5 linked regions of the Callithrix jacchus genome follow. The protein of the gene in region 1 interacts with the protein of each later gene in a biochemical or structural test. Links are inferred from orthologs where the notes say so. Each region holds a gene or a part of one and is shown on either strand. Other genes may lie near its edges.

Evidence for each region.
Region 2: the proteins of UBE2D1 (region 1) and SIAH2 form a complex in vitro, tested with the Homo sapiens proteins (3 studies listed by BioGRID). The link is inferred for Callithrix jacchus from reciprocal best matches to the Homo sapiens genes UBE2D1 and SIAH2.
Region 3: the proteins of UBE2D1 (region 1) and E3 ubiquitin-protein ligase RNF216 form a complex in vitro, tested with the Homo sapiens proteins (2 studies listed by BioGRID). The link is inferred for Callithrix jacchus from reciprocal best matches to the Homo sapiens genes UBE2D1 and RNF216.
Region 4: the proteins of UBE2D1 (region 1) and UBE3C form a complex in vitro, tested with the Homo sapiens proteins (8 studies listed by BioGRID). The link is inferred for Callithrix jacchus from reciprocal best matches to the Homo sapiens genes UBE2D1 and UBE3C.
Region 5: the proteins of UBE2D1 (region 1) and LRSAM1 form a complex in vitro, tested with the Homo sapiens proteins (2 studies listed by BioGRID, with this or other methods). The link is inferred for Callithrix jacchus from reciprocal best matches to the Homo sapiens genes UBE2D1 and LRSAM1.

The regions. Positions count from the first base shown.
Region 1 is NC_133513.1:72,139,030-72,144,045, reverse strand, and holds part of UBE2D1 (ubiquitin-conjugating enzyme E2 D1), read left to right. Parts: intron 1-1,360; coding exon 1,361-1,466; intron 1,467-4,477; coding exon 4,478-4,571; intron 4,572-5,016.
Region 2 is NC_133518.1:34,521,309-34,525,366, reverse strand, and holds the end of SIAH2 (E3 ubiquitin-protein ligase SIAH2), read right to left. Parts: intron 2,591-4,058; coding exon 2,033-2,590; 3' UTR 1,028-2,032; downstream 1-1,027. UniProt on the Homo sapiens protein: E3 ubiquitin-protein ligase that mediates ubiquitination and subsequent proteasomal degradation of target proteins.
Region 3 is NC_133503.1:16,898,122-16,903,318, forward strand, and holds the end of E3 ubiquitin-protein ligase RNF216, read left to right. Parts: intron 1-344; coding exon 345-414; intron 415-1,355; coding exon 1,356-1,675; 3' UTR 1,676-4,722; downstream 4,723-5,197.
Region 4 is NC_133512.1:91,063,218-91,068,414, forward strand, and holds part of UBE3C (ubiquitin-protein ligase E3C), read right to left. Parts: intron 3,881-5,197; coding exon 3,727-3,880; intron 3,299-3,726; coding exon 3,078-3,298; intron 1,856-3,077; coding exon 1,704-1,855; intron 1-1,703. UniProt on the Homo sapiens protein: E3 ubiquitin-protein ligase that specifically catalyzes 'Lys-29'- and 'Lys-48'-linked polyubiquitin chains.
Region 5 is NC_133502.1:176,111,089-176,116,285, reverse strand, and holds part of LRSAM1 (E3 ubiquitin-protein ligase LRSAM1), read right to left. Parts: intron 4,907-5,197; coding exon 4,832-4,906; intron 3,197-4,831; coding exon 3,116-3,196; intron 1,642-3,115; coding exon 1,546-1,641; intron 1-1,545.

The DNA.
Region 1 (5,016 bases):
AGGTTAGCATTTTCGAACCATTTTGTAAAAACCACTGAATCTAAAATCTGTTTTCTTATATGAAATTGTATTGAGTCTCTAAACAAAAATCAGTATCTGTCATGCTATAAATTAGATTCCTTGCTTTTCTTTCCCTTCTTATTGGATATGTGTAGTTTGGGACATTTTTATGATTAAGAGTCAGATTATTTATTCATGGGATTGTCTTTCCTAAGATAATCCTTGATCCTTCTTTCTCCTTTTTTCTTAAGTGTTCAATAAATGTTTACTGAGTACCTACCATGTTCTTCTACATTGGGGAATCCAAAAGTAAATATGAAACAGTCCCTTCATTGAATATGGTAGGAGACAGAAAATCATGTTCATATTAAGTTTAGATTGGCTCTAAAGAGGAAACAAATGACGAGGATATCAGGGAGGGGAAAAATGAGCAGATTCTGTCACTCAGGAAATCATTACTTTAAATAGATAAAAACAACATCTATGATTTGAACTCAGACCTAGAACAAGTAAACTCAGTGAATATTGATAGAATTCTTCACCCAGGTCCACAGAACATACATTTTTCTCAGTATCACATTATACCTATTTTGAAAGTGACAACATAATTGGAAGTAAATCACTCTTCTGCATTTGCATAGCATTTCACAGATTTAAATGAAATACTGGTTGGCTGTTTGTTATTTTCTTCCCTTTTTCCTTCCCGTCTCCACTGTTAAGCACAATTATCGGCATAAAAGAGGTTTTTAATACCTATTTTTAGATTGCATTCCAGCCTGGGCAATAGAGCAAGACTACTGTTCTCTCTCCCCCTTTCTCTTTCTCTTTGTTTCTTTCTAATTAAAAAGAAAAAAAAAAGATTAACATTGTATTTATGAAATGATATGACAACTTTTGTGGAAGATTACGATTCTTGATGGATTTCTTAGCTGAGACCCCTCAACTTTGCCCTGAAATAGCATCAGCACCCTGTTTTTAGATCCAACTATCACTTCCAGATATCGCCAATAATCAAATTAAGAACAGGATTACTTCTAGGTATGATTAAAGCCATGGTTAATTACTTTAGATGCTACTCAACCAGTCATAGCAGCTACTACAGAGTTATTTATTACACTCTCCAAAATACTTTTCAGTTCCTTTCGTGGGGGGGAAGGAAGGAAGCTAACTTATTTGTATTCACATTCTGACTAGCTAGAACTGTGTGTAACACAAAGTAGATGATTCTTTTATTTGTGCTGAAGACTTTTCTCCTCTAAGGTTATGTAAAGTTGAGGATATTTTATCCTAGAGCAGATTGGTTCTGTTTTATTCATAGTTGATGCACAGGTCACATTTTGTTGTTTTGTTTTATGTTTAGATTGCTTTCACAACAAAAATTTACCATCCAAACATAAACAGTAATGGAAGTATTTGTCTCGATATTCTGAGGTCACAATGGTCACCAGCTCTGACTGTATCAAAAGGTAATTTCATTGATCAGATTTAAAACAGTTGATAACAGTGAAACAGTAAAAATACAGCAGAATTACCTATGGAGTAAAGTTTTAAGAAAACAATCAACTGTGCTTTCTTCTGTTTTGATTTTGTTTTGCTCTCTTTGCTCTTACTTACTCTGGCTTTTGGCAGTTAGCTTTGGTTGCAGGGAGTGTGGATGGAGAAATCTAAATGATGAAATGAGAAAAAACTTAAAATAATAGAGCTAGAAATTTGGGAATAAAACCTATTCACATTTTAATACTTTTAGCTTGGATGTTGTCTTTTAAAAAAGAGAGACTACCCAGGCGCTGTGACTCATGGCTGTTATTCTAACACTTTGGAAGACTGAGGTAGGAGAAGTGCTTGAGCCCAAGAGGTCGAGACCAGCCTGGGCAACATAGCAAGACTGTGTCTCTACAAAAAAAAGAGAGAGATAATAAGAGATAGTAAAAGGAAGATTTTGGGACTAGCTGTCCCATTTATTAAATGGAAGTGTTGACAATAATAAAGCTTTACAGCTGTTTTACTTCATTGACAAAAAAAAATACCAGATTTGATTGATAAATGATTCAAAATGCTAGACATTTCACACTGTAGGATAATGCAGTACATACAGCATGTTAGTCTAAACTTTGAATAATCAGTAGCATCATTATAGTGACTGACACATGATCTGTGGTGATTCTCAACTTTATTGGATGTATACATAGGCCATCTGAAGCCATTTTATTTTATTAGCCAATACTACTTACTGTACTAGCACTCTTAATTTATGTCTTATTTCTCTAAAAGAAGAGAACCTAAAAATTGGAAAATATTATTTAGGTTAGAAGCAGCTGCACTGAAGTAACCATCAAGTTTTCTGTTTTTATAAAATTGAAGAAAATGTTTCTCTTGAAGGGATTTATGAAAGCAATCTGTTCTCATTTTTTATTTTTAATAATTGCTGCTTGAATATACAACATGTTTTTAAAAGTAATAAGGTTTATAGGAAGCAGAGTCCACAGCCATAGCTTTTTCAAGTATTAGATAAATAATAGCTCTTTCAGTTCAATTATTTATGAATGGTAGTTTTTCTGACCTAAGATGCTCATCTGCAATATTCATATAGATTCTCATATTCTTTTAAGAATCTTTCACACAGTGTTTCTGTCATGCATTAGATATATGAAAGATTCTGTGTTGAAGAGTAATTCAAGTTCATATGCTCTTTCCTGGAATGATGTCACAAAATGAATCTCATTTGGCATAAACAGCTAAGTCCTTATACATAGAAAAGAAATGGCAGACTGCCGGATGCTGAGTACTTATCTTCTGACATTGGTAGCTTTTTATAAAAAATCAGTAGTGTTAGATTCCAGAAACCATCCTTTGAGAAATGAACCAGCCTCAGCTTCCTTATAAGTAAAATGGGGAGTATTATAGTATTACCATATAGGGTTGCTATGTTCCTAGCACATAATGGGCACTTACATGAATGTTAACTGTTACCCTTTTCCTTACCTTAAAGGATAGACATGGTTTGTGTGCATGATAGTAAAATTCAGGCAAATGGCTCCTGGCAGTAGGAGTGGGCAGAGGAAGAACTTCCTTCTTGCTTATTTTTTATAAGATAGATTGTACCTTGCTCATTTTTTTACTTTTCTATATTTATTTTTTTAATTTTTAATTTTTTTATCTTAAATTTTTTCTTTGAATTAAATATAGACAGAGTCTTGCTGTGTTGACCAGGCTGGTCTCAAACTCCTGGCCTCAAGTGATCCTCCTGCCTTGGTCTCCCAAAGTGCTGGGATCATAGATGTGAGTCACCTTGCCCAGCTTATTTTTTAAATTTTTTTTATTTTTGAGATGGGGTTGCTGTGTTGCCCAGGATGATCTTGAACTCCTAAGGTCAACGATTCTTCTGCCTCAGCCTCCCAAGTAGCTGGCATTATAGGTGTATGCCACCATGCCTGGAGCTTTTCCATATTTTAAATGACTTCTTTTGCTTTTTATCATGAGGTTAGTCTGAAAGCATTCTGGGGCTGTAAGTCAGCCTGGAAAATCTACCCTGTTGGTTTAATATACAAGGCTTGAAGTTTCATTGGGCAGATAGAAGATAAGAAAGATGCATAAAATACTAATTTTTTCTTTAGTTCATAATACCCCCCATTTGCCTGTCATATAAGTCAGCTCTGCTCTATAAATCCACCTTTGGATTTGAAAGAGTAGGAAAATAGAAAGGAAACACAATGAGGTTGGGGCAAGTGGATATGGGAGGTTGGTCCAGACGTTCCCTGAAACTCCTCAGAAGTGGTGGCATGCAATTGAAGCAGACAAATGAGGAACCACAGTCCTTGTTCCCTCTTATTTCAGATACTTAGATCTTAGATTGTCTTTTTTTTTTTTTTTTTTTTTTTTAGCGTAGCTATTTGCATTAGGATTTTGACATACTGGAGTAACAACTACTTTTTCAATTTTCATTTCTATTTTAAAATATGCAAGTTATATGAAGGTAGCTGTTCACATTATTTTTAAATGCATACAACATGAATAAAGTACATGAAGTAAAGATTCACTGAAAAAATTTTTACAAATTTTTCTTCTTTGTAGACAGACTATAGCTCTAAGCCAAAGTAAAAGAGTGTCTGAGCACAGTATCCAAATGGTATATGGACTGTTAAGTGTAATTTGATTGTTCTGTAGAGAACTCTCAAGTTTAAAGGTTGTTAATAGCTACTTTGGAGGGTCACTTTTTTAAGTAAATAGAAACTCAAATAGAATTTAAAACTTCAAAAGCTAAAGTAATTTCATATTTTACCCATCTTAGGGTAATTTTATAACTTTAAAAATTAAAGATCATTTGCTATCAACCAAAATAGAATAAAATATAATTTCATATGTTCATTTCTTTTGTTTTTCTAATAAATTTAGTATCTGTATTCACTAAAATCATTTTCACATGTGTAATTATATGAACTAGATTATTGTCTAATATGATGTTCTTTTTTAAATCTAGTTTTATTGTCCATATGTTCTCTACTTTGTGATCCTAATCCAGATGACCCCTTAGTACCAGATATTGCACAAATCTATAAATCAGACAAAGAAAAGTAAGTGTTAACTTATCTTAGTTTCTGTATGGATACATTCCTATATAGTATGCTAAAACATGAATATTGTCAATGTATTTTAAGTACAGCTTGTTGTGCATATATTGTTTTATCTTTTTCCAGTGGAGTAAACCCTTCTTTTAGAACTCAGTTTGTCCTTTTACAATAAATCCTGTTTCTTCCCACTTCCTGTTCAATAGTATATAGTCTGTATTTGAAAAATAAATATATATATATATATTCTAGGTGGTAAATTAAAAATGAAATAATTTAATCATTGGAAAGTATTAAATACTGTATTGCCTATCTTCTCCCAGGAAGATGAGTTCTCTCTATGCCCATCCTAATTCTATGCCCACTGACCTAATTCTCAAGCTGCTTCAGCTTGCCTGTACTGTAGGTTTATTTGCAATTTGTAGATAATGCTTCTTCAGGGTTGGCTTTG
Region 2 (4,058 bases), on another chromosome or scaffold:
GGCGTGAGCCACCGCGCCGGGCCGAAATATGACTTTCTTAGTGATAAGAGTTACGGTTTTCATTCATTCACCACAAAAGTTGTAAACTCCTACTTTTGTGCAGGCAACCGTTTTTCACTTTTATTTGAAGAACATCCTAGAAGAGGTTACTTTAGCAATTCCTGAAATGCCAGAACCCTATGCCGGCTAAAAACTCAACACTGTATTTCACTTAAAAAACAAAATCAACTCCAAAGCCATCACCTCCACTTGGTAGTATGCTAATGAAATTGGGACACTGAGGCTGGGCGTGGTGGCTCACGCCTTAATCCCAGCACTTTGGGAGGCTGAGGCAGGTGGATCACTTGAGGTCAGGAGTTTGAGACCAGTCTGGCCAGTATGGTAAAACCTCATCTCTACTACAAATACAAAAATTAGCTGGGTGTGGTGGCATGGGCCTGTAGTCCCAGTTACTTGGGAGGCTGAGGCAGGAAAATCATTTGAATCCAGAGGCAAGGTTACAGTAAGCTGAGATCACACCATTGCACTCCAATCTCTGTCTTTAAAAAAAAAAAAAGAGAGAAGAAAAGAAAAGAAATTGGGACGCTGAGGTAAGCAGTCATCAATCCTCACTAAGCATTTGGCACTAATCTCTGAATTCTTTTGGGAGTATATGGTTGGGACTGAGGGAGTGGGTCACCTTGGATCAACCCCAGCACTCTGGATGTCAGCACTGGCCAAGTGTCTTCCTTCTCACTCGGTAAAGCAGGAGCAATCCTCTTCTTGCGCAGCTGCTAACACTGTCAGACAGAAATGACAGCCCTGGGAGGAGACCTGTACCACCGACAGTCAGTGGTTCAGATGTGTGAGCCTGGACCCCAGTGCTGTCATGGACCCATGTCATGACCTTGGCCCAATGACTGTTTCCTCAGTGAAAACAGTGAAAGTTCCAACCCCAGATGCAGTGGTAAAGGTTCATTGCACTTGCACACAATTGATGCTCAATAAATACCCATTATTCAATTAGGGAAATAAAGCACAACATCCATTTTTGGAAAATATTTATTAAAAAACTAGTGAATGTGGCAGAAAAACAAAACCAACACACACCTTTAAATAGCAAGCATATGACACACCGGTTATAAAGCTTTTCCAATCTACTGATCTAGTCTTTCACACCAGCTACTATCAAGTAGGGCTTCTGAGGGAAGCCATGTGTAAACGAGTCCCCTGTTCTAGTGGTGAGCAAAACTAATTACATGAGAACTAATGGCCATATGACTTGCTTTCTAGGCAATCCACCCAAAACACAAGTGAGTGACCAGATCTCAGGCGTGTGTTCATGTGGATCTGTAGTTCTAGTTTTAATTTGAGGGTCAGGGGAGGTTAGGGAATGAAACAGTAGAAAGACAAACAGTATCGGCAGAGGGCAATCTTAAAGCACCTTTAAAATCTGGACCCTTTCCCACAATTTAGCCCAGTAATTTTCAAACATTGCTGTTGAAAAGAATCACCAGATGAGACTGTTAAATTGGCAGGCTCCCTAAATCTGCAATTTTAAGATAAGCACTCCGGGTGATTCGATGTCTATTAGCCATCCAGTTTGAGAAATACTGTTTAAAATGCATTAAAACAATTCCTACCTCCCACAAACAAAAGTAAAGGAATCTGCTGACAGTCACTGTGCTTTTGTCAATGACAAGGGACCAATATGGGAAGGCAGGCAGGAAGGGGCCTCCCATTCCTAACACACTGATCTACAGAAGCCCTGTGCAACAGCCTGTCAAATGTTGTTTAGGATGTACATAAAATTTAATAAGAGAGTTGTTTTAGATCACAGAACAGCCTCTAAATCACCAACAGGCCAACCCCATTCATCCCAGGTTAATGAACTTTGTGGGGTCAATGCCAGATGGGAAACTGCTGTTCAAACAAAACACAGGTAACTGTTGGTCCTGACTTGTGAAGACATATGGAATAAAACCTTTATAAAAACCTTTATTAAACATAGAGCACTATGCTCACATAATTTGGATGGGTTACGAAAGCCACATCATGGACAACAAGTAGAAATAGTCACGTTGATTCCAAGGTTCCCATTATCTGCAAAAAGATGTGCTATGGCTGTGTCGAAAACCAGGCAGTCACTGTTCATGATGGCCGCAGCCACACCATCGTGAATGGACCGGGGTGTGGCCTCCCAGGTCAGTCTCCGCCGGTTCCCGTTCAACTCCAGTCTGTAGGCAAAGTTCTCGGCTTGCTTGCGGGTGCCAATGAGCAAGACGATGGCAAAAAACTGCTGGTGGCCTTCGTACTTCTCTTGTTTCTCCAGCACCAGCATGAAATGATGGCCGAAACATGACTGCATCATCACCCAGTCGACAGCCCCTGGCAAGTTAATGTCTGTAGCTAGAAAGACGATGTCTTCTCCCTGAAGGGTGGTAATGCTCTTGTGGGCGTGCATGAGATGGGACATCACAGCTTCCAGGGACCCCTGCCACTTGCAGGAAGCGCCAGGACAAGGGCAGGAGTAGGGACGGTATTCACAGATGTCTTCGTGTTCTGGCTTCTCTGTATGGTGCAGGGTTAGGGAACAGCCCGTGGTGGCATACTGCGGAAAAAGAAATGCATTGAGCCATGGGGCCTTCTCAAAACTTCTGTTGGTGCAACCCTCTATAAGTACTTAACTACTCTGTTTTCCTGGGCTTAAACTGTGTTCCTAACTACTTTTGCTCAAAACAAGTGAAATATTCAAGATTAAAGGTCTCAGTCTCTCTTCATCATTAGTGTTGTCATGCATAAAATCAAAGGTATTTCCTGAACCAGAAGTAGGCTGTTTTCCATGACCCTGTTCTACTGTCAAAAGGACAAGAACTAAATTCTTTTACGTCGCGCATCTCAAAATTGTTGAGCAAGTCCTGTAAAATCTGGCCTTCCCCATATTTTCTGTGAAGCTGTTTTTTAAAGAATTCAATTGCTTGGGGCTGGGGATGGGGTTGGGCAAGGAATATTATATTATCTCCAAATTAGTTTTTGCACAAAGACGACAGTGAAAACTATAATTCTGTTGTCCCTCTCCACTGTTTCCTGGCTCAAACTGGGGGCTGGCAGCCTGGCCATGGGGAAGGCTGCCCTTCGGTTCTTGCTCTTTACTGCAGGCTAGGGTAGCGAAGGCCTGGAGACCCCTTCATACTTATAGAAATATTACCCCACTGTAACCTTTTGACCTTCCCTCTGGGAGGTCTTTGCCCGTATTTTCTGGGTGGAAGGAAATCACATCTAAGAGCTACTTAACTACGAAGACTGCCAGTTAGTCTGGTTCTGGCCAGAGGAGGTTAAAATGAGAAGGGCCTAACCTTCCTCTCAAAGCTTGCTGACCCCCACCACTTCCTCAAGTTCAAGTGCACATGCTTCATGGCCAGGTATGTCAGGTCCTCACGACAGGCCCGGGAGGAAGCAGAATTAGATGAGTTTGCTGATATGATCAGTCTGCCCCTCAGACACTGCCTTAATAAGGTAGGAGAACAAAACTTTTTTCTCCCTTGCACTTGGGATGACATTCCTAATGGATGTGGCAAAAGACCACACCAACAGGAATTGGACTTCTCCTGACTCTCACAAGATGAAGTTGTTAATTCCTAGATACCAGATGGAGAATCAGCTCACAAGTAGACACCTGCCCTGACACTAAGCTGTTGTTCTGTAAAGAATTAAGGAACCTGAATCACCTTTTCAGGTGAAACTAGATGTCAGCCTTATACCCCTGGAGCAGAGAGTGGCAGGGGAACTGTCTGACTTACCACACTTGGATTCCCCTGCTCCACCAAGACAGGAAGGCACCAAATAAGGGCAGGGCCAGGTCATTTTTTTAAGATGCTATGGCCAGTTGCTTTTATAAAAAACCGCCACCGCTGTTTTTGCTTTGTTCTTCCCCGCTTTATGGAATAACCCCCCTTTTAAACTTGTAGTCAGTCAAATTCGAACCTTTATAGATGCATTTATCACTAGCAACAAGCAGATAGATACTATGCACTGTGCGCCTTCTCCATACAAGATGCTAAGCTACAGTCACTCAGAGG
Region 3 (5,197 bases), on another chromosome or scaffold:
ATCTGAAACTTTTTGGGCTCTGGCCTCTCAGACCCAGCCCTCTCCAAACCCTTCTCCACCTAGTACATGGGGACCCTCCACCCTTCACCCCACCAGGCAGCTGCCTGCCATGCTCAGACCCCTCTGCCCAGCCTTGTGGATGGCTTCCTTATGGAACACCATCAGGCTGATGAAGGAAGGAGGCACTCAGGGAAATGGGAAGAAATGGTGTACAGCTCAGGCTCCACTGGCCAACAACAGGCTTTTTCCATGGCCACCAGCAGCAGGCGGTCTCCCCTCTGTCCCACGCGGTCTCGGCACTATGTGGAGCTACAGGCTCATCCTTCTTGTTGCTTGCATTTTAGGAAGATGATGAGAAGCTTATTGAGGAAATCCAGAAGGAAGCTGAAGAAGAACAGAAAAGAAAGAATGGAGGCAAGTGCCCTTCCCCAGGCTCCCAGGACAGAGCAGCAGCCATACCTGGCTTGCCATCAAGGAGCCTGCATGACCTGGGGTCCTTTGCTCCCTTGGCAGTGCTGAGCTGCAGGGCTTGAGCCACCACACCTGGCTGTTTTGTTTTTTTTTTTTAAAGAGTATAGCTGGGTGCAGTGGCTTATGCCTGTAATCACAGCACTTTGGGAGGCCAAGGCGGGTGAATCACGAGGGCAGGAGTTCGAGACTAGCCTGGCCAATATGGTGAAACCCTGTCTGTACTAAAAATACAAAAATTAGCTGGGCATGGTGGTGCGTGCCTGTAGTCCCAGCTACTCGGGAGGCTGAGGCAGGAGAATTGCTTGAACCCAGGAGGCGGAGGTTGCAGTGAGCCGAGATTGTGCCATTGCACTCCAGTCTGGGTAACAACAGCGAAACTCTGTCTCAAAAAAAAAGTACAAAAATTAGCCAGGCATGGTGGTACACGCCTATACTCCCAGCTACTCGGGAGACTGAGGCAAGAGAATCACTTGAACCCGGGATGGGGAGGTGACAGTGAGCCAAGATAGCACCACTGCAGTCCATCCTGGGCAACAGAGTGAGACTCTTGTCTCAAAAACAAAACAAAACAAAAAGAATGTAACTGAGTCACAGAGGTAGCCCCTCAAGGCCCTGGCTCTTGAAGGATGCCTTACTGGGCTGGGCTGGGTGGGTGGACATGCCACCTCCCACGGTGCCACTGTAGAGCAAGACACTGAGGGAAAATTCAGATTTGTCCTTGATTTCTAATAGTGTTGTTGGGGAGGTGTCCATGTTTTGTGCTTTAATCAGCCTGTGGAGCCCCTCCTGTGTCCAGAGGTCACTAGCCTAGTCCCAAGCTAGATTCAGATTCCAGCGAGGTATGTTTAATCTGTTTTTTCCACTAAACCGCACCTCCCTTTCAGAGAACACCTTCAAACGAATCGGACCTCCACTGGAGAAGCCCATGGAGAAGGTACAGAGGGTGGAGGTCCTCCCGAGGCCTGTCCCACAGAACCTGCCGCAGCCACAGATGCCACCCTATGCCTTTGTGCACCCACCCTTCCCCCTGCCGCCCGTGCGGCCCGTGTTCAACAATTTCCCACTCAACATGGGACCCATCCCAGCCCCATACGTGCCCCCGCTGCCCAATGTGCGGGTCAACTATGACTTTGGTCCCGTCCACATGCCCCTGGAACACAACCTGCCCATGCACTTTGGCCCCCAGCCACGGCATCGCTTCTAATGGCCCGGAACCCCCACTGAGCAGCACAGAGCCCATTTGGGGTGGGGGTGTGGGATGGAGAACACTCCCCTCCCCCAAGGCTGGTGGCTGTGCCATTGCTTCCTAAGTCAGGTTGAAGGGTAGGCTGGTTTTCTTCCCACCTTTCCTAGAAGGGCCACTGCTCCTGGAAGAGTGACCACAGCTGGTGGCCCTCTGGGGGGGCCTGCATGGGATAGGTCTGGCTCCCACTCGGCAGAGTCAAAAGGGCCTCGAAGCCCTTCTTTGAAGAGTTCTGCCGGTGGCCCTGGCTGCTGTGTCACTCCAGTCCCTGCAGAAAGAGACCAAGAGGAAATATTTTGCCTCCATTCACTTTTTCCCCTAGCAAACACCAGGGAAAAAACCTCTCAGAATTAAAACCACATGAGCCTTCCTTATATAGCACAGACAGATCCATAATAAAGATGAAAATGGTGGAGTTCATAGAGAACTGTGATGTGAACTGCCCCTCCTTTCCCCCGAGGCCACCAGGGGCGGCCCTTCTGCCTTATCCCTTTATCCATGGTATAGGCCAGGGCAGGCTGCAGTGCCCCTGCTGCTCACACCTGGGCCTCTCCTTGGAGCCAACCCCTGGGGAGTAAGGCAGCTCCAAGGAGCCATTTCCCTGGAGGTCCTCATAGGGGCTCCAGGTTGGGCAGAAGGAGCTGTGCCCACGGGCCTGGGAAGCATTGCTCAGGGTGGGGGCTGGCACCATGGCCTACAGAGGCACTGCCACAGCCATAAGGGCCAAGATGCTTCCCCCTATCCAGAGCCCATGCGCCACTACAGTGAGCATTGAGGGTACCTCTCCTCTCTCTTCATATAGCCTACTCAGATCAGGCAGCAACAAACCCATCTTGTGCCATGGGTTTTGTTCTATTGCTATCTAAGTTTCTCTTCCTCAGTCTCTGGAAAGTCAGGCTGAGAAATCCTTACCCAAGCTAGTCCATTGCAGCATGCTGGATGGTTCTGAAGCTGGCGCATCAAAAGATCCTCTTGGGGTAGCTGGGACAGAGACCTGGTGGTCCTGCCAGGCAGCCCAACTGCTGGGGAAGACATTTCTGCCACCCTGGGTGATGAGCAGCTTTTCCCCTATGGTTTTCTGGGGGAGGAGTGGGCCTTTTTAGGGGGACAGGTGACCCTGGGTGCCACCCCTGCCTGGCATGAGCCCCTGTGTGTTCTCAAGTGCTTAGTGAAGGCAGGTAGACGGTGCTGTCTGGTACCCCCCATATGAGGGCCACTTCCCTTCTCATGCAGTCAGCTGAGCATCAGCTCAGCCCTGCCATGTCCCTACTCATTCTTGCCTCCTGTCCAGCCCCGGGTTTCTAGCTGTGCCTGAGGCATCAGTCTGGCCCATTGGCAGATAAGAGACCTGAAGCTTTCCTGGCCACAGGTGTCACTATCTCCTTCTCTTCTTGGTCTACCATATTCTTGTGTTGCCATGGGGTTCCGAGAGGTTTGGAGTTCACAGACCTCAGACAGGGCTGACCCCGACAGCCATTAGGGTGGGGCTGCTTCAGCCTCTGGAGCAGCCCTCCATCGTCCTACAGCAGGGCTGCCACACCCAAGGTCTGGAGGGCATCATCATTCACTGTCATTGGCTTCTCAGATGTATTTCAAGTACTAAAGTGGATTTAAAAAGATCTAAGATGGCCAGGCTTGGTGGCTCATGCCTGTAATCCCAGCACTTTGGGAGGCCGAGGAGGGCGGATCACCTGAGATAGGGAGTTTGAGACCAGCCTGACCAAACATGGTGAAACCCTGTCTCTACTAAAAATACAAAAGTAGCCGGGCGTGGTAGCGCATGCCTATAATCCCAGCTACTTAGGAGTCTGGGGCAGGAGAATCCCTTGAACCCAGAAGGTGGAGGTTGCAGTGAGCTGAGATCTCGCCATTGCACTCCAGCCTGGGTGACGAGAGCGAAACTCTGTTTCAAAGAAGATCTAAGATACTCATTCTTTCTGCCTTTTCCCAAGATGGAGGCTTTGAAGACAGCTGATCACCTGGGCATGGGGTAAGCGTGCGCTGGGATGCCAGACTTGGGGGGCAGCCTAATGCTATGTCCTTGCCGGCTCCCCTACCTGTTGGGCTACCCCAACTTTGCTACTAGCCTGAATGACAGTGCCTTGGAAAGGCGGGCTCCACAAAGCTGCAGCAGGATTGTCTTCAGTATCTTAAACGTGCTCCCTGTGCTTGCCCCTGGGAGGGTCTCTGGGAGCAGAGGGAGGCTGCAGACATCCTAGCTGAAGCGTAGGTGACCTCAGGCCCCAGGAGCTTCAGCTCCTTCTGTCCTGCACACCAGGCATGTGGCCCCAGCAAGTGGCCCAGGCAGGACAAAGGGAGCAGGCAGCAGCTGCAGGAACAGCCCCAGACAGGTGCTGGCCCCAACCCTGGCAGGGAACAGGGAGCCCAGAGTGATGTTTCTCCTAAGGCCAAATCCCAGGGCATCTCTTTTTAGAAGAGCTCCAGCTGTTTCTGGTCACACTGTGCTGGTATTGAAGGAGTTGCTGCCTTTTTCCTTGTAGGGCCCTGATTCCTGAGGATTCTCCCCAAGCCAGGCACAGGGGGTTGCAGGGCTGCCATGAGCACCCACCTTAGACCTCAGGCTCCTGCCTGCACCAATGATAGGGCCGGGGAGAGAAGCACTGGGGGACTTCTGATCAGCCAGCAAGGTCCATTCCAGTGCCCAGAGGTCAGACCACAGGCAACCCTGAGGCAGCTGGGGCACCTCCTCTCTGCCCTGCAGGGCTTGCCCCAGGGCGCAAGGCTCCCCAGCCAAAGCCCCTTCTTACTTGCCTTAAAACTGGAGAGAGGAATCTAGTATTTGCACTTAGCAAAATATTTAAAAACTGAAAAAATTGTGCATGATCTGTCACTTTGTATAAAAATAGAAAAATGATTAAGTAGTTAAACCTTTTTCTTTACCTTCTGGCAGTAAAAATAGATAAAATAATTTGTTCATACTACTGTGTGTAAAAAGCCTGTATCATATGTAACTGGGACTTTTTGTAAATAAATGTTTGTGCACTCTGCTCCCTCTGGCTTCATGTCTCCCCACTGCTGCCTGGCAAGTTACAAGGGCAGCTGGCAGATTAGTCCAAGTGATCAATCTAAACCAGCATCCGTACCTCCCCAACTGTGTCTCGGCAGGAGCAGGCCCGGAAGGCACACCAATGTGTAGTAAGAGCCCCTGCCCCTCCCCTGCCAGGGAGGAAGATCAGGTGATCTGCTAGGCAGATCGCGCTAGGGCAGCTACCAAGGCCCAGATTGGACACAAAGGGTCTATTTGTTTGTTTTGGGCACAGAATCCCCTTCAAAAAAGGTGTGGTCAATTTCTCTTGCCGGCCCCTTCCCCAGTCTCTGTCCATCTAAAGGTCAGATAAACCAGGAGAAGCCTCACCCAGCTGAGGAGTGGACAAGGTTCCAAGGACAGGAAATGCCTAGGCTGAGAGGCCGTGGCATTTGAGTCCCTGCCCTGCATGATGGGAGGCTGCAGTGCCAGGGCCC
Region 4 (5,197 bases), on another chromosome or scaffold:
AAGTGAACAGATTATACAGAAACATAAAGGCAAAAGAGCTTATCAACGGTGAACTTTGACCCTGGAAAAATCTCATACAATCACATTAGGTTCTGTATGATTGAGTGCTGTGGGAAAGAAAAGGCAACACAGAAACATACACGTAAGAGACCTGGCAAGGAGAGAATGACTTGGAGTGAAACCTACAAGTGCCTGGTTCAAAACTGGGTCTGTAGTTCTCAGCCCAAATGTGACACTACCCAAGGCAAAGGAAGAATGAAGAGAATAAATGAAAAAAGGAAACTGAAGTATAAAGTACAAATTTATGAAGTTATATAATATGCAGACCTTGAAACTCTTATGTATTAAAAAAGAATTAAAGTGTAGTAATATTTTTTACGGTTATAAAGAATTTTAAAAATCAAGCAACTGATCCCACTTCTTAAATGTTCAAAGTGTAAGCAGAAGCAAGAGAGCCTGCAGCCTCCTTCCTGGTTCATGGGTCCTTGTGCTCCGCTTTCGTCGTGTTTGCACACCCACAGCGAGGAAAAGCTCTGTCCTCGTGTTTGCACACCCACAGCTAGGAAAAGCTCTGTCCTCTCTCTCGCTGAAAAAGCCCACAGCCCCATCTTCACATGAATACAAAATACGCTGTGTATAAATACAGGTTTTATTTCACAGATTCTATGGAAGGTAACTATTTTAAAACTTCCTTCTAAAACCAAAAATTTTATCTACATTCCATTACAGAACCCACTCTTTTTTATAACCACACACAAAAATGAAGACTTCTTGGTGTACAGTTTGAACAGACCCAACAGTTCCAGCACCCACTATCCACTACAAAAACGACTCCACCCTTGGTAATCAGTCCGCCTCTCAGCCATAAGCCCTGGCAGTATAATCTGTTCCTTTCTTCATCTTCTCTTATTTTTATTTTTTAAATAAAGCCCTGTGCTTACTTCTCAATCTTCTTACTGCTGTGATCTCTTTTATTTGATGCTAGTGAAGCTTTGTCTAGGAAGCTGCAGCAATGCACTGACACACCCACTTCACAATACTGCAAAAACAGACCTGGAAGCCTGGAGACCCTCTATAGTATATTCTGTGATTACACTTAGCGATCAATATACAACTCCTTAATCAAAAATCATGACTTACGTTAGCCATATCTCAAGCCATTTCAAGTGTTTAAGACCAAAGAAAAGCCACTGGCAGGTATATTAAGTAAAACACAAATTAAGTATGCATGTATATATAATTTTAAAGTTTTTTACTCCTTGAAAATTTACTGTAAACTCATCAGTAAGGAATAAAAGAGGTAAGAACTTGAAAGTAATTTTAAAATAAATCCTAACACATATCCTCCATAAAATCAGCAGAAATTAATGGAAGACATTACTTGGTATTCACAGGATTGGGTAAAAAGGAACTTTTGACCCAACAATTTCATTGCTAGAAAATATATCCTAATAACTAAGATAACATACAGTATAATCCTATTTTGCCTAAAAAAACAAACACGAAACTATGTGCCTCCACTTACACTTCCATAAGCGTACTAAGAAAGCGGTGGAAGAAACTGTTTCTAATCAGGGAAACTGGTAGAGGGGGCTGAAGGGGCTTCTCTGTGGAGGCTGCTTGAGGTTCTGACTGTGTAACTGAAAGGAGGGGTGGACAGAAAGATAGAGGAACAGGCAGGGCTGCCAGTATCTCGGGCTCACCGGGCTCGAGGGCTTGTCGGCCTCTTCACCCTCCTCCTCCGAGTCACTGGCTGAGTCGTGACAGCTGGCGCTGGCAGGAGAGACTGGTAACTGAGAGAGGGAGGTCTGCAGCACCCGCAAATACACCAGCAGCCCTTCCTCAGAGAGGGCCCCTTTGTAAAACAATCAGTTAAAATGTATTTTAGTTAAATGTTATTTTTAAAAATGGAAAACTAAGATGCCATTTTCCCTAATACTCAAAGAGGCATTTCTGACCAGATCTTATTTTAAAATTCTGTGTTATAATAGGAAACATATTTAGATTTAGTCCCCATTCATGTCAGAAAGCACCTACAACTCTTGGCATTTCCCGAAAGAGAAGAGTCTTGTTATTCAAAGCTAGCCCTCTGTGATCACACCTGAGTTTATGCACCGAGGTGACCATTTAGGGGCCTTGGGATGGGGCTTTTCACCAGAGAAACCAAGTGATCAGAGGGCTGGAACTTTCGGCCCCACCCACCAACCTCCAAGGGGCTGCTGGAGGGACACTGGAGATGCAGCACCACAAAACTCAACAGGAGGACACAGTGAGCTGAAGACACGGAGGTGCTGAGGGCGTGGAGTGCCGAGAGAAGGCATGGGAGCACTGCAAACCCGCCTACCTTGGCTTCCCCGAGTTCTGGGAGTTGTCCTAGTAAATTACCAAACCCAAGGCAGGGTTGTAGGAATCCCCATTTTGGCAGGTTGGCCAGAAGTATAGGTGACAACCTACTACTTGTAATTGGCCTGTGAAGTGGGTGTAGTCTTGCAGGACTAAGCCTTCAGATTATGGGATCTGACATCATTTCCAGCTGGACAGCATCAGAATTGAACTTAATTGTATAATACCTAGGTGGTGTCCACCGCAAAACCGCTTGGTGTGTGGGAAAAAAAACACACCCTCATTTCTGGTCACAGAATTTTTCAATGTTGAGTGTGAGAACAAGAAAAAGTTTGTTTTTTCCTGTATTTCTTTCATTAATAATTCATGTGTGCATGTATGTATGTTTTCAACAATACGTCAGGAAGATGTTATCATTCTAGAATAGGCACACTCTAAGTTTACGAAAAGTAGGGAAACAGGCCTGACTCACAGAAGAGCTTTCCCATTTAATTCCGTTCACTCTATTAAAATAATCTGTGCGGCCTTATAAGACATGTATATAAGTCAGTCTTTCCCATTGTATCTGGAAACTCTCCCCAGCAACACTGCCCAGACCACAGCCCTTCAGCAAATACACTCTTCCAAGAGAGGCCCACCTTTCCATGACACCTGCCACTTCACGGCCTTCTCTTGACTCATCTGCTAATGCTACCCATATACATGTTCAGGTAAAAAAGTCTTGTATTTCATACCCAAATAATTTTCGCCAACAGTTAAAACAAAATAGAAAAGCCAGGGTGCTCCACCACTCTTTTTTGAACATCTACCCTCTATTAACAACAGTGCATTCAGAAAGGGCTCGTAAGGGAAAACGGTCTGTGCATCTGCTAACGCCGGAATGATGAAATGAAAAATCTGATCTGTAAAAGGTGCTGCCAGAAACTCCTCTGTGAAGGCTGTAAAAACTTGTTGCCTGAAAAAGAAAAATAGAAGCTTTTTATAATGTCAAAACATACTGTCCATCCAATCACTGATTAAAATAACCTTTCAAAATATCCTTCAAAAAGATAATCTACTCTTCTAAATTGGCCAAATTAATCATTTAATATCAACTCAATCAACCTAAATAAATGTAATGTCTGCTCTATTAAGATAACTGCCATGTTTTCGTTAACTTTCGACAGTTACTAAAAAGTAGGAAAATAACATCACCAGAATCTCAAATCTGTATTAGGCTACAGGCCAGAAAGAAAAAGTACACTCTTCTATTAACTACATCAACACTAATAAAGTAAAAATCTGACTTTCAAGTCTATATTTAAAATCACATCCTATGTTAAAGTTACTGTCAGATATAGATCTTGAGAAATGACAAAATCAATAAATCCATTCCAGCCTCACCTCGCACCTTCCGGACAGGAGTTGTAAGTAAAGTGCAATGGTTTTAGAACATTCTCTAGTAAAATTTTTGCTATAGGAACCCGAGATAAATCAGAATATTCAATACTTGATGGAAGCTTGCTGTTAATCAACAAATAGAGAGACCTATAATACCCTAAAAGGAAAAACACACATTTAAAATTTAGTGCCTTTTCCTATAATAAGGGGAAAAAACTCGTCGATTTTTAAATCATTTTTATAATCTCTACAGGTCCAAACTTAAATTAGTTCTTTAACATGTTAATAAAGAAAATTAAACAAATATACAGACAGCTGAATGGTATATAAACTCTGTGTACCAACAACTGTCACCTAGAGCCAACGTCTCGTTTCACCTATACACCACTTGGAAGCAAGTCTAAGATATGATTATTTTAGTGTATCATTAGGAGACTATTTTTAAAAACATTATCACAGCTAAAATAAATGAAGAGCAGTTCCTTAACATCACAAATATCTAGTCAGTGTTCAAGTCTCCAATTGTCTCATGTTAGAAATTCTATTTAACTAGTTTGCTTTTATCAGGAGCCCAATAAGGCCCAAATACTGTGATCTGATAATTTGTCTCTGATTTGTGTGTTTTTTGAAGATCGTGTTGAACTCATAGAGTTTCATTACACTGTAGTCCTGGTCTCATACTGCTCCACCTGGGGCCCTGAGGAGGGCTTTAGGAGGCTCCTAAGCCTCAGGGTCACTGGTATTCCTCTGCTCTTTGATGGAACAACATGCCCCAGTCTCACCTCCTGCGTCCTGTCATGTAATCAGCCTTTTTCCCAGGAACTCTTAAGCTCCTTTTAGAAGAAATGATATATCTGGAGACCACAATCTGGGCACTGAAGTTAGCTGATTTAAAGGCAACTTAGACGTAAACTGAAACAACTTTGAGAACTCTTAAAATTTCCAGCCTATGTTTTTAATAGGAACTCTGGGTATCAAGAATGATCCAATTCATATATTCTTTTAGAATCATTTACCCTTTTTTATAGGAAAACAACAATGTTCAGGTGTGATTCGTAAGTATCTCATCAGTATACAAGTGCGTATTAAAAACAATCCATCTGCATGGGCCAGTTTTTGAAACCAACCTCCACAGCTTCATATCTCAGTGAAAATCACTGAACAGTATATGCTCAGTACTTTGTCATTACACATACTTTGTAACTACCCCAAGTCTAACCTAGTGTATGCTGATGAGTGAAGCTCACGAAGAAAGCTTGAAAGCTTTTTCACTAGAAAACTAAAAAGATAAAAAAAATACATCAAGACTTTTCTTTAAAGCATTTCCGGTATTGGGACACATTTCAAATAATGTGTATTTCTTAGCCATTTTCCTTACAATTTTAGAAAACAGTACAAATTCTCCTCAAATGCTTAGTCTTAAAACAGTGTGTGTGTATCAATTAATACAATGAGCCACTTTTAATTATTAGTT
Region 5 (5,197 bases), on another chromosome or scaffold:
GACTGGCTGTGTCTTGCTGGGGTGGTGCTTCCTCCCTTGGTGGTGACCCCCAAGGCCTACGAGGGCAGGAGCACCAGCCACAGCACCTGGTTGCCACAGCACAGCACCAGGGCACCATCTGCCCAGTAACCTGATGCATAGGAGATGGCAGCAGGGCACTGTGAGGAATAGACAGCTTTCTCTGATGGGCACAGGCACCACTTGGCTTGTTCAGGACTCCAGAAGAAGCTGGTCTTTCTCTTCTAAACCTATACAGGGGCCAGGTGCGGTGGCTCAAGCCTATAATCCCAGTACTTTGGGAGGCCAGGGTGGGTGAATCACCTGAGGTCAGGAGTTCAAGACCAGCCTGACCAACATGGTGAAATCCTGTCTCTACTAAAAAAAATGCAAAAATTAGCTGGGCATGGTATTGCATGCCTGTGATCCTGTCTACTCGGGAGGCTGAGGGAGGAGAATTGCCTGAACCCAGGGGGCGGAGGTTGCAGTGAGCCAAGATCACGCCATTGCACTCCAGGCTGGACAACAAAAAGCAAACCTTTGTCTTGAGAAAAGAAAAAAAAAACCTGCACAGGGCCAGGTCTAGGAGGCAGCTCAGAGGACGTCTGGTTCATTCACGGTGACTCAGGAATAACTCGATCTTTTCCACCCCAGATGGTGGGCCTGGCCTCTGGTCTTGTTGCTGGGTGCCCCCTGGGTCTAGAGAAGACACTCTCAAGGGGGCCGCTGCCACTCTGAAAGTGTGCCAGCATCAAACTTATTAGGGGACAGGAGACAGCTGGGCCATTCCTACCAAAAGCTTATCAAACAGCCTGTCCTGGACATAGCAAGTCCTGTCCTGGAGTGAATACTCATGGCTGTTCCCAAATACTCAACTACAAAGGAATTCAGAGAGCGTCGCCTGTAAGTTTAAAACCTAGAAGTAATCCACATAACAATAGGGGCCAAGCACAGCCTCGAGAAAGGATGTCAAGGAAGGGTTTAACGGCTTGAAAAGAATGTACGGAAACAGGCTGGTTGTAGAGTACGCACCATGTCCTATTTAAAAGGCAGATACACAAACAGCTATAAAGATGCATCACAATGTTTGGAAAACATGCATCAAAACAGCAGGACAGGCTGGGCACGGTGGCTCATGCCTGTAACCACAGCACTTTCGGAGGCCAAGGCAGATAGATCGCTTGAGCCCAGGAGTTCGAGACCAGCCTGGGCAACATGGCGAAACCCCATCTCTATGAAAAATAAAAAAATTACTCGGGATGCTGAGGTGGGAGGATCGCTTGAGCCCAGGAAGTCAAGAGTGCAGTGAGCCGAGATTGCGCCATTGCACTCCAGCCTGGGCAACAGAGTGAGACCCTGTCTCAAACAAGCAAACCAACAAAAAACAGCAGGAGATAACTCTTGGAACTGCAATTATTTTCCTTTGCACTTTCCAGTTTTTCTTTGATGAACAACTCTTACTTGAATAACAGGTGTTTCTAAAAATGGCCAGTCTGTTAGAGAAAAGCAAACGCATGTGTGATGCTGAGCACAGAAGCCAACACATACCAGAATTTCCCGGAGCTCTTCCTCTCGCTGCTGCTTCTCTTTGAGCAGCTGCTGGAGCAGGTTGCTGAGGGCCCAGCGCTGCTCCGAGACCATCTCCTGCAACACAAGACCACACCCCAAACCACCATGAACTGGCGGCACCTCAGGAGTCCTGCAGTGGCAGGATGGAGAAGGGCTTGGCCTCCCGCTCACTCGGTTCTCTGCCTAACGCCTCCAGGCTGAGCTGGGGGACAAAGCTAAGAGGCCCTTCTGCCCCTCTTCCCCTAAGCCTGCATCTCTCGTCCTTGTGGGGTGAAGTCAGGCATGGGATCCTGGTGATTGATGACAATGGAATGGTAAGAAACATCAAACAAAAGAAACAGCAAGCCACAGGTACCTGCCTTTGGCCTCCCAGACAACAGAGCACATGGGCAGAAGCAAATGGTGGGAACGGGGTAAGGGGCCTCACACAAATGGAGGGGTGTGCAAATCAGAGCCTGGGGTCCTTGTTCCACTCCCGTGCCTGCTCTTGGAAACCCCATGGGGCCCTGACAGGTGTAGCCCTGCTGCTCTTGTGGGCAGGGTCTAGGGTACCTGCCAGGCATGATGGCCACAGCTTCTCTGAGAGCAGCTCCAGTCCCCTCATCTCTGGAGATCATTTCAAAGCTCACAAAGGGCATTCCCTTGCTAACTTAGTCTTCTCCGATGGCCAGATGGCACAGGCTGGACCTGGAGGACAGCTGCCATTTTACGGAGTAGGGGAAGAAGGCCCAGAGGGGCAGAGGCCTGCCTAAGAGTACACAATGCACTTGTGGTACACCTGAGACCAGGTATCCAGACCTCTTACCTCTCACTGCACTGAGGAGTCCATGGGATGACTTGAGACTTCTCTAATGAGGACACAGGGACAGTGACAGACAGAAGGTTCTGCTCAAATGCCTGGCATGGGCACATGTCCTCACACACCACCCCATCCAGCCCTCTATCTGCAGCTGGAGGGGCTAAGGTCCAGAGAGGGCAAAGGGCTGCCCCTCCTCCCCCACCTGCCAAGGTTGTGCAGCAGGGCTGTGCCGAGCCACACCCGGCTCCCAGGTGTCCAGTCCAGGACATCAGCTGCCAGTCCCTGCCACCCTCTTGTCTGTGTGAGCAGGACTGCCAGGCTAAGCAACAGAGACATGGCTGGGCCCTCTCCTCCAGAGATCCCGGGGACACCCAAAAGCTCCAGCCCTGGAGGATGTCTGCCCAGGGGCCTGAAGCATGGCCTACAGAGAGAGACAGAGCTCAGCGAGGGCCCACACCCAGCACAGGAAACAGTGATGGAGATGGAGCGGGAGAGCCTTGGCAATGAAACCCTCCTTCCTCTGACCCTCCTGCCTCACAACAGGCTGACTGCCTCTAACTTCAGCCTGCGCTGGGTCTTCTGGAGCTGGGGGGTGTCCTCTGGTATCACAGCCACAGAAAAACTCTGCCCTCTGTCTGCTGGGGAAGCCCTTGACTCCCAGGGGCTGACAAGCAGCTGCCAGGGGCTGGGAGGGGCATGAGGTGGGGGTCTCAGCATGTGAGGGAGGCAGGGGCAGGGAGCCCTACATACCTGTAGTGTCTCTGTGTCCAGGGACTTCCTCTTTAACTCCAGCTGTGTCAGCTGCAATAACTCAGTTTCTATTAACTTAATCTAAACAGAAGACGAGACAGGAGTTTTTTACTCACATTAACCACGGTTCAGTTTCCTGCTGCTACTCTCTGATGACCAAGTGGGGTCTATGAAGCCTTTCTGGGGAGGCTAGGGAGGCTCTGGAATAGGGACCCTCTAAGCCTGGGAACCTCATCAAGGGGCTTGAACAAGAATTCATTCCTTCATGGCCCTGAGTTCCCGGGGTCATGGACAGGCTTGTCACGGCCAACATTGTTTACCTAGAGCCCAGCACAGGATCTGTCCCAGAGCGGGCACAGAATAAAGACTTGTGCAATGGAGAAGAGGCTTTGCTTGGAGATTCAGGCCAGAGTAAAGCACAGACACAGAACTATCACCCAGCCTCCTGCTGGTCAGGGTCTCTTGTGCCCCTCATCACTGCTGCAGGGGAGAGCAGAGGGTGGTGGAAGTAAGTGACTGAGTAACAATGGTAGTAGTAGATGGTATGTCTTGAGCACCTACTACGTGCTAGGCTTTATGTGCTGTGTACTTTATGTGTAATATTTCATCAATTCTCTGGCTGTTAGGAGGTATTACTGCCTCTATTTTACAGACAAGAAAACCGAGGCTCAGAGAGGTTAAGTCACTTGTCCAAGGACACAGAGCAGGTAAGTGAGAGATCCCATTCTCTGGGATACCCCAGCTCAGGGTTTGGAGAGGAACAGCTGACCTGGTCAAAACCATCTGCAGTGAGAATGTCGGGGGCCTCGAACACTCTCCAGGGTGTGTCTGGTGGATTTCAGCCCTGGGGGGCGTCAGGCCCCACAGCCAGTACTTCCCTATCCTGTTCCTATGACCCTGTGCCCCTCGTCTCTAAGTCCCTATGATATCACCAACCCCCGGTCAGAGGAATGAGCTTCATGTCTGGCAATGTGGAATTGAAATTAAAGAGGGAAACTGAAAAGGTAAATTGGTCCAAAAAGAAAGAACGAAAGAAAGAAAAATAGGGAAAGAAAGAAAAAAAACATGCAAAAAATGTAAAATTCAGTGTGCCGAACATGATGTAGGAGCGTTCCCATAGCCTTAAGCTCACTTCAGCCCCAGCCCCACTCCACAGGCAGTGGCCACCAGGCCACACAGGTGCGCTCGCCCAAGGACACCTCGAAGGTCAGCAGCCACCTGGGGGGGATCTTGTCATGTGAGGGAGGGCCCATAAAGAGGACCTCCTCCTCTTGGGCCGAGGTCACTTTTCAGCAGGAGTCAGGACCACCATGGCTCATGGCCCCACCTGCCCACTTCCAGGGGAAATCCCATATGCCCCAGAGACATATGGGTCTCTGTTGGTCTAAGCTGCAGTAGCGCAGGGGCCTGCACAGGCTGCTTTTCACAGTGTCCTGCCTGGAGCATGGACAGGAGGCGGCCCCAGCAGTCACAGCCACGCTTGCTGGTACGATCCTCACCCAACCCCAGAATAGGAGGCCTCCAGGCACCCACCTAGGATCCCCAACACAAGGCTGGGAACAAAGGGAGGTGCCAAGGGCGAGGCCTCGACCTCTTGCTGGGCTAGCAAGCCAACATGCTGGGGTTCAAACCTCAACTGCTGCGACTTGCTGCCCTGGAGGGATGCCCCACAAGTCTCTGAGAGGGCAGGTCCGGGGCCACAGCCCCAGAGCTCACCTGGCTCCTAATCTGCCGATGCATCAGGTCCTTCTTCACCTGGAGCGCCTCGAATGCAGCCTTCTGCATCGCACTCTGCAACAAAGACCACCGTTCCTCAGCAGGGGCCAGGCCCACACCTTTCCCTACAGGCCCATCCCCGGGAAAAGCAAAAGCTGTGTACCAAGCACCTTAACGTATGGGTTTTGTTTCTGAGAGAGAGAGAGAAGATTCCACCTCACTTGTGTAAACCTTAAAATGATACTAAGGGCTTACTGCGGTGGCCTCTACTTGATGCCCTTCCAGCATCACCCCCTGAATTTCCACCACCATGGACTGTGTGGTGCTTTTACTGCCCCATTTCACAGATAGGGAAAGTGACACTCA